4 linked regions of the Oryctolagus cuniculus genome follow. The protein of the gene in region 1 purifies or fractionates together with the protein of each later gene. This does not show direct contact. Links are inferred from orthologs where the notes say so. Each region holds a gene or a part of one and is shown in the gene's direction. Other genes may lie near its edges.

What was found.
Region 2: the proteins of EDC4 (region 1) and XRN1 purify together in Homo sapiens (co-immunoprecipitation; 4 studies listed by BioGRID and IntAct, with this or other methods). This does not show direct contact. The link is inferred for Oryctolagus cuniculus from reciprocal best matches to the Homo sapiens genes EDC4 and XRN1.
Region 3: the proteins of EDC4 (region 1) and DCP1B purify together in Homo sapiens (affinity purification with mass spectrometry; 3 studies listed by BioGRID and IntAct, with this or other methods). This does not show direct contact. The link is inferred for Oryctolagus cuniculus from reciprocal best matches to the Homo sapiens genes EDC4 and DCP1B.
Region 4: the proteins of EDC4 (region 1) and DCP1A purify together in Homo sapiens (co-immunoprecipitation; 9 studies listed by BioGRID and IntAct, with this or other methods). This does not show direct contact. The link is inferred for Oryctolagus cuniculus from reciprocal best matches to the Homo sapiens genes EDC4 and DCP1A.

Annotation. Positions count from the first base shown.
Region 1 is NC_091449.1:51,123,608-51,127,282, forward strand, and holds part of EDC4 (enhancer of mRNA-decapping protein 4), read left to right. Parts: coding exon 1-36; intron 37-102; coding exon 103-302; intron 303-377; coding exon 378-508; intron 509-600; coding exon 601-754; intron 755-1,048; coding exon 1,049-1,482; intron 1,483-1,559; coding exon 1,560-1,664; intron 1,665-1,746; coding exon 1,747-1,899; intron 1,900-1,980; coding exon 1,981-2,017; intron 2,018-2,135; coding exon 2,136-2,313; intron 2,314-2,426; coding exon 2,427-2,582; intron 2,583-2,680; coding exon 2,681-2,796; intron 2,797-2,891; coding exon 2,892-3,057; intron 3,058-3,139; coding exon 3,140-3,326; intron 3,327-3,418; coding exon 3,419-3,638; intron 3,639-3,675. UniProt on the Homo sapiens protein: In the process of mRNA degradation, seems to play a role in mRNA decapping. Component of a complex containing DCP2 and DCP1A which functions in decapping of ARE-containing mRNAs. Promotes complex formation between DCP1A and DCP2.
Region 2 is NC_091435.1:139,566,698-139,570,372, forward strand, and holds part of XRN1 (5'-3' exoribonuclease 1), read left to right. Parts: intron 1-791; coding exon 792-830; intron 831-1,168; coding exon 1,169-1,326; intron 1,327-1,748; coding exon 1,749-2,051; 3' UTR 2,052-3,675. UniProt on the Homo sapiens protein: Major 5'-3' exoribonuclease involved in mRNA decay. Required for the 5'-3'-processing of the G4 tetraplex-containing DNA and RNA substrates. The kinetic of hydrolysis is faster for G4 RNA tetraplex than for G4 DNA tetraplex and monomeric RNA tetraplex.
Region 3 is NC_091440.1:99,743,522-99,747,196, reverse strand, and holds part of DCP1B (mRNA-decapping enzyme 1B), read left to right. Parts: intron 1-687; coding exon 688-1,518; intron 1,519-3,675. UniProt on the Homo sapiens protein: May play a role in the degradation of mRNAs, both in normal mRNA turnover and in nonsense-mediated mRNA decay. May remove the 7-methyl guanine cap structure from mRNA molecules, yielding a 5'-phosphorylated mRNA fragment and 7m-GDP.
Region 4 is NC_091441.1:96,541,029-96,544,703, forward strand, and holds part of DCP1A (mRNA-decapping enzyme 1A), read left to right. Parts: coding exon 1-683; intron 684-3,650; coding exon 3,651-3,675. UniProt on the Homo sapiens protein: Necessary for the degradation of mRNAs, both in normal mRNA turnover and in nonsense-mediated mRNA decay. Removes the 7-methyl guanine cap structure from mRNA molecules, yielding a 5'-phosphorylated mRNA fragment and 7m-GDP.

The DNA of each region.
Region 1 (3,675 bases):
CTCCACTCCCCACCCACACATCCCATGAGGACTTTGGTGAGCGAAGGGTGAAAGGGAAGCCAGTTGGATTCACTGGGGCCAGAGATCTGACTCACATGTTAGCTTTCCCCACAGCATTTGGAGAGTCTCGATCTGAACTAGGCTCTGAAGGCCTGGGATCTGCCTCTCCTGGCTCCCAGCCTGACCTGCGACGCATTGTAGAGCTGCCTGCACCTGCTGACTTCCTCAGTCTGAGCAGTGAGACCAAACCCAAGTTAATGACACCTGATGCCTTCATGACGCCCACTGCCTCCCTACAGCAGGTACTTCCCCAGGGTAGGGGGACCTGGGAGTGCCCCACCCACAGGCCACAGCCCTTACTCTTTACATCTCCCCAGATCACTGCATCCCCTAGCAGCAGCAGCAGCAGCAGCAGCAGTAGCAGCAGCAGTAGCAGTAGCAGCAGCAGCTCTCTTACAGCTGTGTCTGCTATGAGCAGCACTTCAGCTGTGGAGCCCTCCTTGCCAAGGTGAGGCGAGGGTCAGACATGGAGTATGGGAGGGTCTGGTTTCAAGTAATGCCAAGCTTTGGCTGCTCATACCTCAGCCTTCCTGCCACCAGGCCACCCGAGGAGCTGACCTTGAGCCCCAAGTTGCAGCTGGACGGCAGTCTGACAGTGAGTGGCAGCAGCAGCCTTCAGGCAAGCCCACGCAGCCTCCTGCCTGGCCTACTCCCAGGCCCAGCCGACAAATTGACTCCCAAAGGGCCTGGGCAGGTGTGTGTGTGTGTGTGAAGTACAAGGTAGCAAGTAGATGGCAGCAGGAAAGGTTGGCAGTCGTCTGCTCCCATACACCCTTTCTGCTGGCCCTGCTCTGCTCCACTGCTTCCTGTTTCTCCTGAGGTCATGTCGACCTCCCCATCCCTCCCTCCTTTCCTGGGCTGTGGTGCTGTTTTTGACCTATACCCCGCTTCACCGCTGTCTCTCGCCAGTACTAATACCAGTGTCTTAGATCTGTGCTTTGCCACTCCCCGGTCCATCACTTAATCCCCCATCTTTGGCCCACCTCAGGTACCTCCTGCTGCCTCTGCACTGTCCTTGGAGCTGCAGGAAGTAGAACCTCTAGGACTACCCCAGGCCTCCCCCAGCCGTACCCGTTCCCCTGATGTTATCTCTTCGGCTTCCACTGCCCTGTCCCAGGACATCCCTGAGATTGCGTCTGAGGCCCTGTCCCGTGGCTTTGGCTCCTCTGCCCCTGAGGGCCTTGAGCCAGACAGTATGGCCTCAGCTGCCTCAGCACTACACCTGCTATCCCCACGGCCCCGTCCAGGGCCCGAGCTTGGCCCCCAGCTTGGCCTAGATGGAGGCCCTGGGGACGGAGATCGGCATAGTACCCCTTCCCTCCTGGAGGCAGCCTTGACCCAGGAGGCTGTGACTCCTGATAGTCAGGTCTGGCCTACGGCGCCTGATATTACTCGTGAGACCTGTCCCACTCTGGCAGAGAGGTGAGGAGCTTAAAAGGGGAGAAGTGGTGGGAAGGGCTTCCTATAGTGATTCACTGCTAAGTTGGACTTTCCTCCAGCCCCAGGAACGGCCTCCAGGAAAAGCACAAGAGCCTGGCCTTCCACCGACCACCTTATCACCTGCTGCAGCAACATGATAGCCAGGACACTAGTGCTGAGCAAAGGTGGGCACCACCCCACACCATTCCCCTCATAGGGGAGGGCAACGGGTGGTCAGATACTCAGCCCTCCCTCTGCCTCCCACAGTGACCATGATGATGAGGTGGCCAGCCTTGCTTCTGCCTCAGGAGGCTTTGGCACCAAAGTTCCCCCTCCTCGGCTGCCTGTCAAGGACTGGAAAACCAAGGGATCTCCTCGGGCTTCACCCAAGCTCAAGCGGAAAAGCAAGAAGGATGATGGGTAAGGGGGATCCTGGGACCAAGGAAAGGGATGGTCTCCTGGCTACCAGACATGGCCTGAGGTGCTTCTCACCTATGGCAGGAATTCAGCCGTGGGATCCCGGCTTACAGAGCACCAGGTAAGAACAAGCACGCCTTCCTTCTCATGGGACCCCATCCTGTAAGTGTGGGAAAGGACTTTGGGGCATTCCCTGGTCTGTGTGGTGTCTGGTGTGTGACTGTCAGTACTGCTGGCAGGTGGCAGAGCCCCCTGAGGACTGGCCAGCATTAATTTGGCAACAGCAGAGAGAGCTGGCAGAGCTGCGGCACAACCAAGAAGAACTGCTGCAGCGCCTGTGTACCCAGCTCGAAGGCCTGCAGAGCACGGTCACAGGCCATGTGGAACGAGCACTAGAGACTCGGCATGAACAGGAACGTATCCTTGAGGGTCGTAGCACAGTCCAGCATAGCACAGAAGTAGAGGCAGCATCCTTGGCCCAGGAAGGGGTATGGCAGCTGTTCCAGACCTGTTCCTTAGCTGCAGTGCAGAGCGGCGGCTGGAGCGGGCACTGGCTGAGGGGCAGCAGCGGGGTGGGCAGCTGCAGGAGCAGCTGACCCAGCAGCTTTCCCAGGCACTGTCTTCAGCTGTGGCTGGGCGGCTGGAGCGCAGCATTCGGGATGAAATCAAGAAGACGGTTCCTCCGTGTGAGTTCTGTGTGAAGACTTGCTTTGGGTGGGCCAGGTGGGGGTGGGTGTGCTTGTCAAATTTCCTTCCCTGACTCTACCTGCCCCTTGCTCCTCAGGTGTCTCCAGGAGTCTGGAGCCCGTGGCAGGTCAACTGAGTAACTCAGTGGCTACCAAGCTCACAGCTGTGGAGGGCAGCATGAAAGAGAACATCTCTAAACTGCTCAAGTCCAAGGTGATACAGGACCTAAGATGGTAGGGGGTGAGGTGTTGGTGGGCTTAGGCCAAGGTGGGCTCAGGGTTTCAACTCAGCCCCTCCCTCCGCATTAGAACTTGACAGATGCCATTGCCCGAGCAGCTGCAGACACATTACAGGGGCCAATGCAGGCTGCTTACCGTGAAGCCTTCCAGAGTGTGGTGCTGCCTGCCTTTGAGAAGAGCTGCCAGGCCATGTTCCAGCAGATCAATGATAGCTTCCGGCTGGGCACACAGGAATGTGAGTGGGGTCATATGCCCCGGCGTGGGCGGGGCTGTCCTCTCTTACCAGTCTTGTCACAGTCCCTGCGGTTACCCTTCAGACTTGCAGCAGCTAGAAAGTCACATGAAGAGCCGGAAAGCACGGGAACAGGAAGCTCGGGAACCTGTGCTGGCTCAGCTGCGGGGCCTGGTCAGCACGCTGCAAAGTGCCACTGAGCAGATGGCGGCCACTGTGTCCAGCAGCGTTCGGGCTGAGGTGCAGCACCAACTGCACGTGGCTGTGGGCAGGTGTGTGAGTGGGGCATTAGCCGAGGTAGTGGGTTTGGGGAGGCTCACATTGGGCGCCCTGTCCACCTTATCGGTGTTGCTTTCATTTGCAGCCTGCAGGAGTCAATTTTAGCACAGGTACAACGTATCGTTAAAGGTGAGGTGAGCGTGGCACTCAAGGAGCAGCAGGCTGCTGTCACCTCCAGCATCATGCAGGCCATGCGCTCAGCTGCTGGCACACCTGTCCCCTCTGCCCATCTCGACTGCCAGGCCCAGCAAGCCCATATCCTGCAGCTGCTGCAGCAGGGCCACCTCAATCAGGCCTTCCAGCAGGTACAACAGTTATTTGGTCTGGGTAGGGGTCAGGTGA
Region 2 (3,675 bases), on another chromosome or scaffold:
TTTACCTTTTCATGTTGTCTAATTTATTCATACCTGTACCAGGAATTTTAAGGTTATAATTGAAATGTTTTTGGTCTTTAGTAGGTATTCTCCAAATGTTCCAGTTATGAATACATAGCAGCCAAAAGATGTGAACAGTATTTGGCGTCTTTTCAGTAGTTCTTAACATTATGACTCCCGTCAAACTTGCTTGTTGGCAGTATCAAGACCTAATTTTCTAAATCTTATTAGTGTTTTCCAAATTAAAGGTTTTCTTCATCCTGGGAATTGTTATGTATAATTAATAATACTAAAATATATTATGATTCTTTTTCCCTGATGCAAAAATTCCTCAAGTGGCTGAATTTTAACTAAGCTACACTGTTTTAGGCTGCTTTTTTCTCTCTCTGTAAAGGTTTGAACCTAGTGCATATCTTCTTTAGTGACAATGAGCTGCTGCCTTGATTATCACCATTTTTAATGCAGTTGTTCACAAATGCTGCATTGATGTTAGCTGTCTACATAAGAATCACCTATGGATTTTGTTAGTAAATACTTATTTCTGGGCCCTTCAGGGTCTGGTTTACAAAGTTTGAGGCCCTGCCCAGAAGTCTATATTTAGCAGGTTCCCTAGGTAATTCAGATACACACAGCAGGTTTGGGAATCATTGGTTTGATGCATTTTTAATAAAAAAAAATGTAAATGAAAAAATCCTTGAATTACAAATACTAGAATAGGGAAAAGAAAGATTTTGCATGTCATATGAAAATGATCAGATTTCAGGACTTGAGCTTTTTTGGTTTTCTTATAGGCTGGGATCACTATGGAAGCAACTTAGCATTGGGGGCAGGTGAGATTCTTAAGACTTCTTTGTGCCCAGGATTTTCTCTCCCAAATGACAGTATCATGACCCTGTTATTTTTTAATATAATTTCAAATATTCCTAAAGTTTATGTCAGCGTACGATACCCTTAGTCTTTGCATGCCAGCATAATGATAAATTCCTTTCTGTAGAAAGTCCAAAGAAGGGCTGCTAGGGTTGAATGTTCTAAGCAGAAGTTATAGGTTAAATTGGACATTTTGCCAAAGGGAAAAAAAAAAAAAAAGGCTAACAGAAGAAGGTCTTAAATGTTAGGGCTTCGATAATTCTGTTTTACTAAGAGAAAGATTTTCTGTGGTTTTTAACAGCTAACATAATGCCTCCATCTCATCTCTTCGGCTCAATGCCGTGGGGACCACCAGTACCAGTTCCTGGGAAGCCCTTCCATCATCCTCCATATTCTGGGACCATGCCCATGGCTGGAGTGATGCCAGGTGGTGTGCATAATCAGTTCATACCTCTGCAGGTGAGACCTGGAAAAATAATTATTATCTTCTTAAGGGAATTATTGTTTCAAATGCTCAAAGACTATATATTTATTCAGTTTTATTTTTTCAGTGCCAGCTCAAAATCCAGTACTGGTCTGAGTACTCTGTCCTTGCTAAGTTTGTGTTCTTCTAAATAATAACTGTTGTAGCAAGTAATACTGTACTGTTCTACCACAAAGTGATAGAAAAACATAATTTTTTAATATTTTACAGAGAATCTTTAAATTTTTGTAACCAAATTCTTTTAGTATTTTATTACTAAATTCTGGAGGTTAAAGTGGAAGTCACAAATCAACAGTTACAACTGTTAGCAGCATCATTTATGGTATCATTTGACACTAGGATTTATTTGTGGTTTTTTTGCTTATATTATTAATTAATGATATTTTTATTCCTAAAGGTTACCAAAAAAAGGGTTGCAAACAAAAAGATCATTGAGAATAAGGAGGCCCAGAGTTCTTCTCAAACCACTCCAGCTAAGACTAACCAGCCAGGATCTCCTGATGGCCCCAAAGGGAGTCTGCAGGACCGCCCATCGGCTTCCCTAAAGCCCTCTGAGACTGCGCCGCCTTCGTCTTCTATTCAAGTTGAAGCTGCCTCTCAGGGCCATGGTGCGTCTCACCGTAAGTCAGCACCAAGTTCTTCAAGAAGAAAATCAAGAAAACTGGCTGTCAATTTTGGCATTTCTAAACCTTCTGAATAAATTTGGTACTTGGAATTCAATTAATTTGTTTACTTTGCATCACCTTTTTTACAGGTCCATATCCATGTCTCATAAAAAATGAGCATACTACTATTTTAAAATAATAGGTTTAAAGTGAGAAGTTTTCCTTTTTAAGATGCCAGGCACTTTTCATGCTATTTAAAGGTTAAATATCAGATTGTGCACTTTAAATACGTGCAGTTTGTTGTGCATCAGTTATGCCTCAATAAAGCTGTAAAAAAAAAAAAAAAACTAAATTAAACCTTGTGCTAAAATAGTATGAGTGGGCTAAGCATTAAAATGTACCACTCTAACCACTGGCCTCCTCGTTAGAAATATCCCCAACTATGAATTAGACACCCTTTTAGCAATAATAGTAAAACTTTGTTTTACATTATCATTGGGGTATAATTAATTGGAGCATGAAAATTGAGCCTCAAGTATGATTTACTAAACGTAAGGATTCTTTTTCTCTTTTTAATGATGTAACAAAATGAATCAAGAGAACGGCTCTTCTGTATGTGTATTTTAACTTCTATTCTCTGTCCCTGAGGGGCCTGTGAAATGATCACACTTGTTGTGGTGCTGCCAGTTTTGCTTTATTCTCAATTTTGTACCAAAGCAACTTTAGATTACTGATCAGAAGAATATTTCATTTAATTGTTAAGAAACATAAATAGCAATCTAGATTTGAGTTAGTACTTTAAAAGTTTTCTAGATTATTCAAGAACCAGCATTAGTAATTTCTAATAAAATTGTTTCAAAATCTACAGGGTACAGTTACTACAGATTTATCTTCTATAGAATAAAGAACAAAATATGAATCACGTTGTTACTATTTTGTGTAGCTTTTGATCTGCTTACTTAACATACGTGAGAGCTCCAGTGTTGGTCCATGTGTAATACTTCTTGGGAGTGATGGAATTCAATTTTTTTTAAGTCTAAGGTGTGCTGTGATACAGGCACAATCCGTTTGTGATGTACATTATTTACTGCCTGTCTCATTGGAGTTCTGTAATTTTAGCTTTATGCAAACTGTTCATTGATGCTGGTGTTTCGTCTTTGCATGTCATGTGGAGGTGTGTTGGTCATATTATAACTGTTGAAATTATTTTAGAAAATGTCTCAGTGGTACCAGGGCCTGGGTTTTTATAGATATATATATGTATATGTGTGTATAATATATATATTTATCCTTTAGTTTTTGTGATATGCTTATATTTTTAAAGAAGTAAGTTATACTTTTTTAAAGAACCACAATCTTTATATGGAGCTGCTTATGATTATATCTGATTTCATTTAGCACATTGAAAGCTTTGCCATGAGTCTCAGTCTGCTTGTTTTTTTAAATGCTGGTATTTCTTTCTCTAATTGCTGGTTCCAGAGTTTCTCTAGCTATGAGGAGCATATTTGTATTTTAGTAGTGCCTTTTGTATAAGTGATAAATGGTATTTATTCATCATTTATTGTAGTCATGTGGGTTTCTATGACTTTGTTTTCTAATAATTTCCTAGGTTCAGATGTTCATCAGTTCCCACATTTCCTTGTTTGTTTATCTACAGTGGGATCTTAGTAATGAGCTCAAGTAATTCTCAGTGTTTATCTTTATTGCCTCACAAATTCT
Region 3 (3,675 bases), on another chromosome or scaffold:
TTGGAATTGGGCTGAACCGAAACCAGGAGCCAGGAGCTTCCTCCAGGTCTCCCACGCAGGTGCAGGGGCCCAAGGACTTGGGCCATCCTCTACTGCTTTCCCAGGCCATAACAGGGAACTGGATTGGAAGTGGAGCAGCCAGGTCTTGAACTGGAGCCCACATGGGATGCCAGCACAGCAGGTAGCAGCTATGCCACAGTGCCAGCCCCTTGATAATGTTTTAAAAGCTACAGGTATATACTTGGAACAAACAAGTTAGAGATTCTAAGAAAAACTACCAGGAATGCTGAAACCTTCACATCCCTGTATATTCTCAGTATCTTCTTGTGGTCTGCAGGGTTAGATAAACTTTCCTTTGGAGGGGTTATTCCCCGGGTAGTGTGTCTAATTTCCTTCCACAGTGGTCCCAGCTGCAAGCCCGGGCCTCCAAGGAGCAGGTGCTGTCTGACCCATAGCATACACTAAGGTGTCAGCAGGGGCTTGGCTTGGGCTGTGGGGAAAAGGCTGTGCAGATTTTTCACTTGACGAAGGAAGCTTCAAATTTTGGTCATTCAACAAGGAAGTGTTTTGATGCTGCCCGAGCTATCCTTTATAAGTAGAGAAATCACCAGGCAGGCACACTAGGGCTCCACCCCGCCCCTCAGGAGTTTCTGTGGACCCATTTTCAGATTTCTTTATTTTTTCCAGACCTTAGACCCTGAACCCCAACACTTATCCTTGACAGCTCTGTTTGGGAAGCAGGACAGAGCCACAAGTTCAGAAGCCGTGGAGCCCCCACAGGCCCTCCAGGCCCAGCAGCAGCACGAGAAGCTCCCAGTAAGGCAAGGGGTCGTGCGCTCCCTGTCCTATGAGGAACCCAAAAGGCAGTCGCCGCCGGTGGAGAAGCAGCTCTGTCCAGCTATTCAGAAACTCATGGTCCGGGGCGCAGACCTCCACCCATGGTCAGAGCTGCCTGAGAGCCGGCCCCGTGAAGAGGGAAGCCCCCGTCCGGCCATCCCACCTGGGTCACCCTGTACCGCCAGGGCTGCTCATGCTCCACAGAGCGCTTGCAGAGCTCAGACCCTGCTGGAGAAGCTTCACAGCACGCCAGGGCCAGCGGACAAGCATGACCGTGGCACAGCAGCCCCTGCCGGGCCGGTTGCCCCCGGCTGCAGCACAGCTCTCGCCGCTGCCACCCCAGCCAAGGGCGTGGCGCAGCCGCAACTGCTATCTTTCAATGGCACCCTCCCGCCGCACACGCTAGGACCTCAGGCTCATGGGAAAGAGCGGGCCACGTTCCCTAGACAGACGGGCCCTCCCTCCAGCACCCCAGCAAGCAGTCCCCGGGTGGCAGCCCCTCCGGAGCTACTGAGGAAGCTGCAGGTGGTACCGCAGGAGCAGCAGCTGCCTGTGCCCACCCGGCCAGCCCTGGCAGCTAAGTTTCCTGCAGCAGCTCAGGGCTCTCGGACTGGGAAGCCCTTGGAGTCCTGGATCAACAAGACGACATCCGGCACAGGAAAGCAGGCTCGTTTCCTTCAGGTAACTATCGACCAAGGACCAGAAAAATAAAACAAGGGATCACTGTCATGCGGCGAAATGTATTTGTTTATTAGGCAGAAAGACAGAGCTCTCCCTCCAATGGCTCACTCCCCAAAATGCATCCGATAGCTGGGACTGGGCCAGGCCAAGGCCAGGAGCTGAATGGCAGGGACCCAAGTACTTGAGCCATCAGCTGCTGCTTCCCAGGGTGTGCGTCAGCAGGAAGCTGGAGTCAGGGGCAGGAGCCCGGACTTGAACTCAGGTACTCCCACGTGGGACACCCACATCTTAACCTCTAGGCCAACCGCTTGTCCCTGCAGTGAAATTTAGACTCCCCTCCTGTGCTGTAGGGACTGCACGTCACGCACATTTCTGTTCAGCGCAGGAGCTGAGAACCCCGTGCGTGCATCTCATTGCGTCCTTAACTTTCTGCTGGGCGGACGGTTGCTGCTCCCGCCCCCTGCCATTAGCCGTAGTTTACTTGAAGAGTTCTCACTTCATACTGTCACCGGGTGTGAGGACCAGTGTAGACATGGAAAACACTCCCACCTGTGATGGTGGAGCGTCCATGTAGTCTGCTTTGAAGTCATCCTTCGATACCAAACAACTCCCACCTTGTTTTATCAGTCCATAGTAAACGATCTTTTACTCATTGACTTAGTAAATATTTTGAGCACTTTCTGCATGTCAGGCCTTGTGCTATATAATGGTGAAGAAAAATCCCTCCCTCTCCGGAGCCTGTAATCCTGGAGATTCTTGAAGGAAACAGGAAACATATTAATGCTTAAAGGTCCAGCCTGTTTTTATTTATCCCTAGGTCATCAGTACAGAATAGTTAAGATCGGGAGAGGGATACGTGTGCCACCCACCCGCAACTCCCAGTGCCAGAGGGGAATGTTGTCCATTTCAGAAAGATCCCATTCTTCAGGGCAGGTGGCTCCGTGTGCCGGTCAGTAACTTGGAACAGTGCGCAGACCACAGCCTGGGGGCAGCACCTGCAGGTCTGGCTCAGAGCCCTGTGCATTTGCTGACCAGGCATTGGGTTTCAAAACTGGGAAGTGCGCTCTACTTGTTTTATAGGCCATGTAGCTTCTGACGGTGCCTCGAAAATCTTGCCTTTAGGGAAGTAAAGACCTTAGGCGTGCACCCTAAGTGCATGTGTATGTGAGATGTCGAGACAGAGCCTTCTCGCTATTTATCGAAAGTCCTAACTCTGAGTACCCTCATTTCAGTGGAACATTGTCCCCTTTGTAAGACTTTTTTGCTTTTTTTCCCCCCTCTCTGTGGTAATTTAGAATCAGAAAACTGGGGTTAATAGTTTGACTTAAATTTCTGCATGTATAATTCTCTTCCAGTACTCACAAATGTCAGGAGCCAAGTAAGGAAAGTGTACATTTTGTCAGCCCACACTGTGCTCTTCTTACGGCTGCCACTTCTCCCCTGGGGCAGCCACTCTCAGCACCTCTCCCTGGAGCAGCAGCGAGGGCCAAGGCACAAGCAACTCACCCGCCTGGCTCCTGTAGGCTTCCTTCTGCGCGGGGTGCCACAGGGCCTGCATCATGCTGGCCTCCGTGCCCTTCTCACAGGTTCTTTGGGGTATTAGGAGGCTGATCGATGACTTTCCTTTTTCTTCCCTGAGTTTGCACCAGTGAGCGCTGTAGGAGTCACTCAGCTGGGGATCAAAATGTCACTTGCGTAACAGAAAGTTATTGGAGAACTTGGTTTTAGGTCTGTTAGCCAAGTGAGTTAGACGCAGACAGGTGAGTCGCTGGCACTGCCGAGTAATGCCAAGCCTGTCCCCACACCTCAGCCTGGAACAGCAGAAAGAAGGGGTGAGGGCAGCAGAGGAGCAAGGGGCTTATCCCACAACCCCCGCTCCCCAAGGTAGGGCTGAGGGGCCTGCCCCTAACACGTAAGAGCCACATGCTCGGACACTGTGGGCCTTAGGCCAGCGCAGTGGCCAGCTGGCCCCGGGCAGGCCAGTGGGCCTGAGTGTACGCTGCCCAGCAGTGATGGCGAGCCTGCAGCACAAAGCACCACACACAGGCCTCGTTCCATGCACAGCGGGCACAGCAGATCACCCCGAGCTGCCTAGGGCCCCTGGGAGGAAACCCTGGAGAAGGGACCAGGAGCCCGTTACACAACAGCTGGGAACAG
Region 4 (3,675 bases), on another chromosome or scaffold:
TCATGGGTCTGGATTCAGAAGAAGTGGAGAAGCTGCCGGGAGAGGCCTCCCAGAAAGAACCCAGCTCCTTCCTTCCATTCCCCTTTGAGCAAGCAGGAGGAGGCCTTCCATCAGAAAACCCGGGTGTCCATTCTGCTGCCCACCACTCAGTCCAGCCAGAAGTCCCCACCCCGGTGCTAATCACCCCAGCCTCCATCACACACTCCAGTGAAAAGCATGCCCCAAGCTACACAATCCCATTGAGCCCCGTTCTCAGCCCCACTCTGCCAGGTGACGCCCCTGCTGCGCAGGTTCCCCCCAGCCTGTCTCGAAACAGCACTATGATGCAAGCAGTGAAGACCACGCCTAGACAGAGGTCTCCACTGCTGAACCAGCCTGTCTCTGAGCTAAGCCACAGCAGTCTGATTGCCAGCCAGAGTCCCTTCAGAGCCCCACTGAGCGTGACAAACCCAGCTGGAGCATCCCTCCCAAGCGTTGATCTTCTGCATAAACTCAGGTTGACTCCACAGCATGACCAAATACAGACGCAGACACTTGGGAAAGGAGCAGTGGCACCCACCCTGTGCCCAGCAGCTGGCCAGCTGGCCACACCTGAGAGCTTCATCGAGCCTCCCTCTAAGACCGCGGCAGCGAGAGCAGCAGCCTCAGCCTCCTTGAGCAACATGGTGCTTGCTCCCCTTCAGGTAGTGGCAACAGAGGCGGGGTGGGCAGGGTGGGTAACTGATTGGATGAGACTAACTGCAAAGACCTTGATTTTTACTGATGTGAGACAGGATAGTTTGAAAGAATTATCTCTAAAGGAAACCAAGGACCAGGAGAAAGGGGAAGGAGAATCCCCCCCACCCCGTGACCAACCAAGTAATTACTAGACAATGGTGTAACTCAGTTTCACTTTCCAGAATTATCCCACTGATAACAGATAAAAAAACCACGTTTATATTGCCTAAGTATGCACTATAGGATTTTTTTTTCATCTGTCTTGCTTTTTGTTTTTTAGATTATTTATTTGAAAGTAGAGCAACAGAGAGAGATCGTCCATCCACTAGTTCACTACCTAGATGCCAGATAGCCTCAACAGCCAGGTCTGGATCAGGTCAAAGCTGGGAGACTGGAACTCCATTCTGGTCTCCCACACAGAGGGCAGGGGCCCAAGCACTTGGGCTATCTTCTGCTGCCTTCCCAGGTGTATTAGCAGGGTGCTGGATCAGAAGTGGAGCAGCCAGAATTCAAAGCAGCCCTTCAATATGGAATGCTGGAGTCCCAAGTGGCAACTTAACCCACTGCACCACAGTGCCAGCCCCTGTCTGTCTTGGTTCAGGGTCAGGAAGATCCCCAGATTATCCTGAACTTAGTTCCCATTCCCAGCTCCCTCAGTACTTTGTTTTCAGAGCCTGGGAAGTCTCTGAGCAGAGTGAGGTGCCATGAAGGAAGAGGGCGGCACTCGGGTTAGAGCTGGCAGGGCCTGGATCAAGAAGTGTGTGCATGTGGATATGTTGAGATGTCTCATCAGTGGGACTCAGTGGTAGATCAGGTGTAGAGGAAAAACAGATTTATCCCTCACAGTAATTCATAAGTGTGGGATATGCAAACGAGAAAACCAGATTGGGTGATTTGTGCAAGGTCACGGAACTGGAATAGTATAAAACCTGCTACTCTGCATCAGTACTGAGTCCCTATAGGACCTTTAATAATGCCCTTTAATAATAGTGATAGGAACCGGTGCTGTGACATGGTGGGTAAAGCTGCCACCTGTGGTGCCGGCATCTCATTTGAGCATCAGTTTGAGTCTCAGCTGTTGTACCTCTGATCCTTCCCCTACGAATGTGCCTGGGAAAGCAGCAAGGGATGGCCCAAGTGCTTGGGGCCCTTCACCTACGTGGGAGACCCAGAAGACACTCCTGGCTCCTGGCTTCAGACTGGCTCAGGCTCTGGCCATTGTGGCCATTTGGAGAGTGAACCAGCAGAAGGAAGATCTCTTTCATGCTCTCGCTTGCTCACTCTCTAACTCTGCCTTTCAAATAAATAATCAAATCTGTAACAATGATGATAATCCCCAATCTTAACATTGTACCAAATAATGTATGGAAAAGCCCATCATGGTTGCTATGTATTATTTCTTAACTTTTTTGTTCCATTCCTTTGAAATCTTGTAGTGATAGAGGGGAAACTTAGGGTCTTGGTAGCATTTATATTGTCTTCCTCCAGCCCTTTCTCTGTGTTACAGAGAGGAGAGAATATTCTGTTAAACAGACATGCCTGCTACCACTGCTGCAGGATTCAAGAAACACAACAGCAGTCCTTTTTATCCCTAAGACTTACCTAAGGGCCAGTGCTGAGGCATAGCAGGTAAAGCCACTGCATATGGTGCTAGCATCCCATATGGGTGCTGGTTCAAGTCCCAGCAGCTCTACTTCCAATCCAGGACTCTGCTATGGCCTGGGAAAGCAGTAGACGTTGACCCAGATCCTTGGGCCCCTGCACCCATTTAGGAGACCTAGAAGTTCCTGTCTCCTGGCTTTGGATCAGCCCAGCTCCAGCCGTTGCAACCGTCTGGGTAATGAATCAGCAAATGGAAGATCTTTCTCTCTCTCTCTCTCTCTCTTTCTTTCTTTCTCTCTCTCTCTCTCTCTCTCTCTCTCTCTCTCTCTCTCTCTCTCTCTCCTCTCCCCCTCTCCCCCTCTCTCCCTCTCACTCTACCTCTGCAATTCCACATTTCAAATAAATTATAAATCTGTTTAAAGAAAATGTGCCACTGTGGCTAGAGGAACCATTCTGGAAAAAAAAAAAAAAAAGACCTTTCTATTTATGAATTGATTGATTGATTTGAAAGGATGATAGGGAGAAACAGATCTTCCATCTGCTGTTTCAATCCCTAAGTGTCCTCAACAAGCTGGGCCAGGGCTGAGCTAAAACCAGGAGCCAGAAACTCCACCTTGGTCTGCCATGTGGGTACAGGGGTCCAGGCATGCAGGGTGTTGTAGTGGAAGTGAAGACCAGGGTGAGAACTGGCACTCTGATACAGGATGCCAATGTGGTAAGTGGCAGTCTAACCCACTGCACCACAATGCCAGCCCCACACCAGCATTCTTGGACACTGCCCTCTGCAGCCTGGAGATAGCACCCTGCCCTAGCCTCCTTCTTGGCAGGGCATGCTTCCCTGCGTATAAATTTCCATTTACACAGCAGTAAATACAAAGACCAGGGCTTCATAGAGTTCTCATGTCTTTGCTCTACAAGTTGTCTCTCTCCAATGAATGAGGAAAAACTGCATGTGAAAGGCTGACTCTGGGTAGCAGCTGTTCAGTACTACCTGTCCAGGTTTAAACAGCCTGTTACCAGGTGTCATGCTGCCAACATCTGTCATTTTTACAGACTCAACAGCAAAAATACGCCTGCACAGCTCCCAACTCTGAGATACAGGTTTCTGCTTTGTTCCTTAGGGACTACTTAAGCACACCTTTCATCGGGGGAACTGCAGGGGGAGGTTGAGTCATTGTCACAGTCCTGTCAGCCTCTTCCCTTGGGAATCTGAGACCTGGTTAATGGCTTAGCCATTTCTTGTTGCTAAAATAGATTTTTTTTTACCAGTAATCAGGAAATTTCACTGAAACCTGCCATATCTATTTATCTCTTCTTTTGAAACATTTCAGTCTATGCAGCAAAACCAGGATCCTG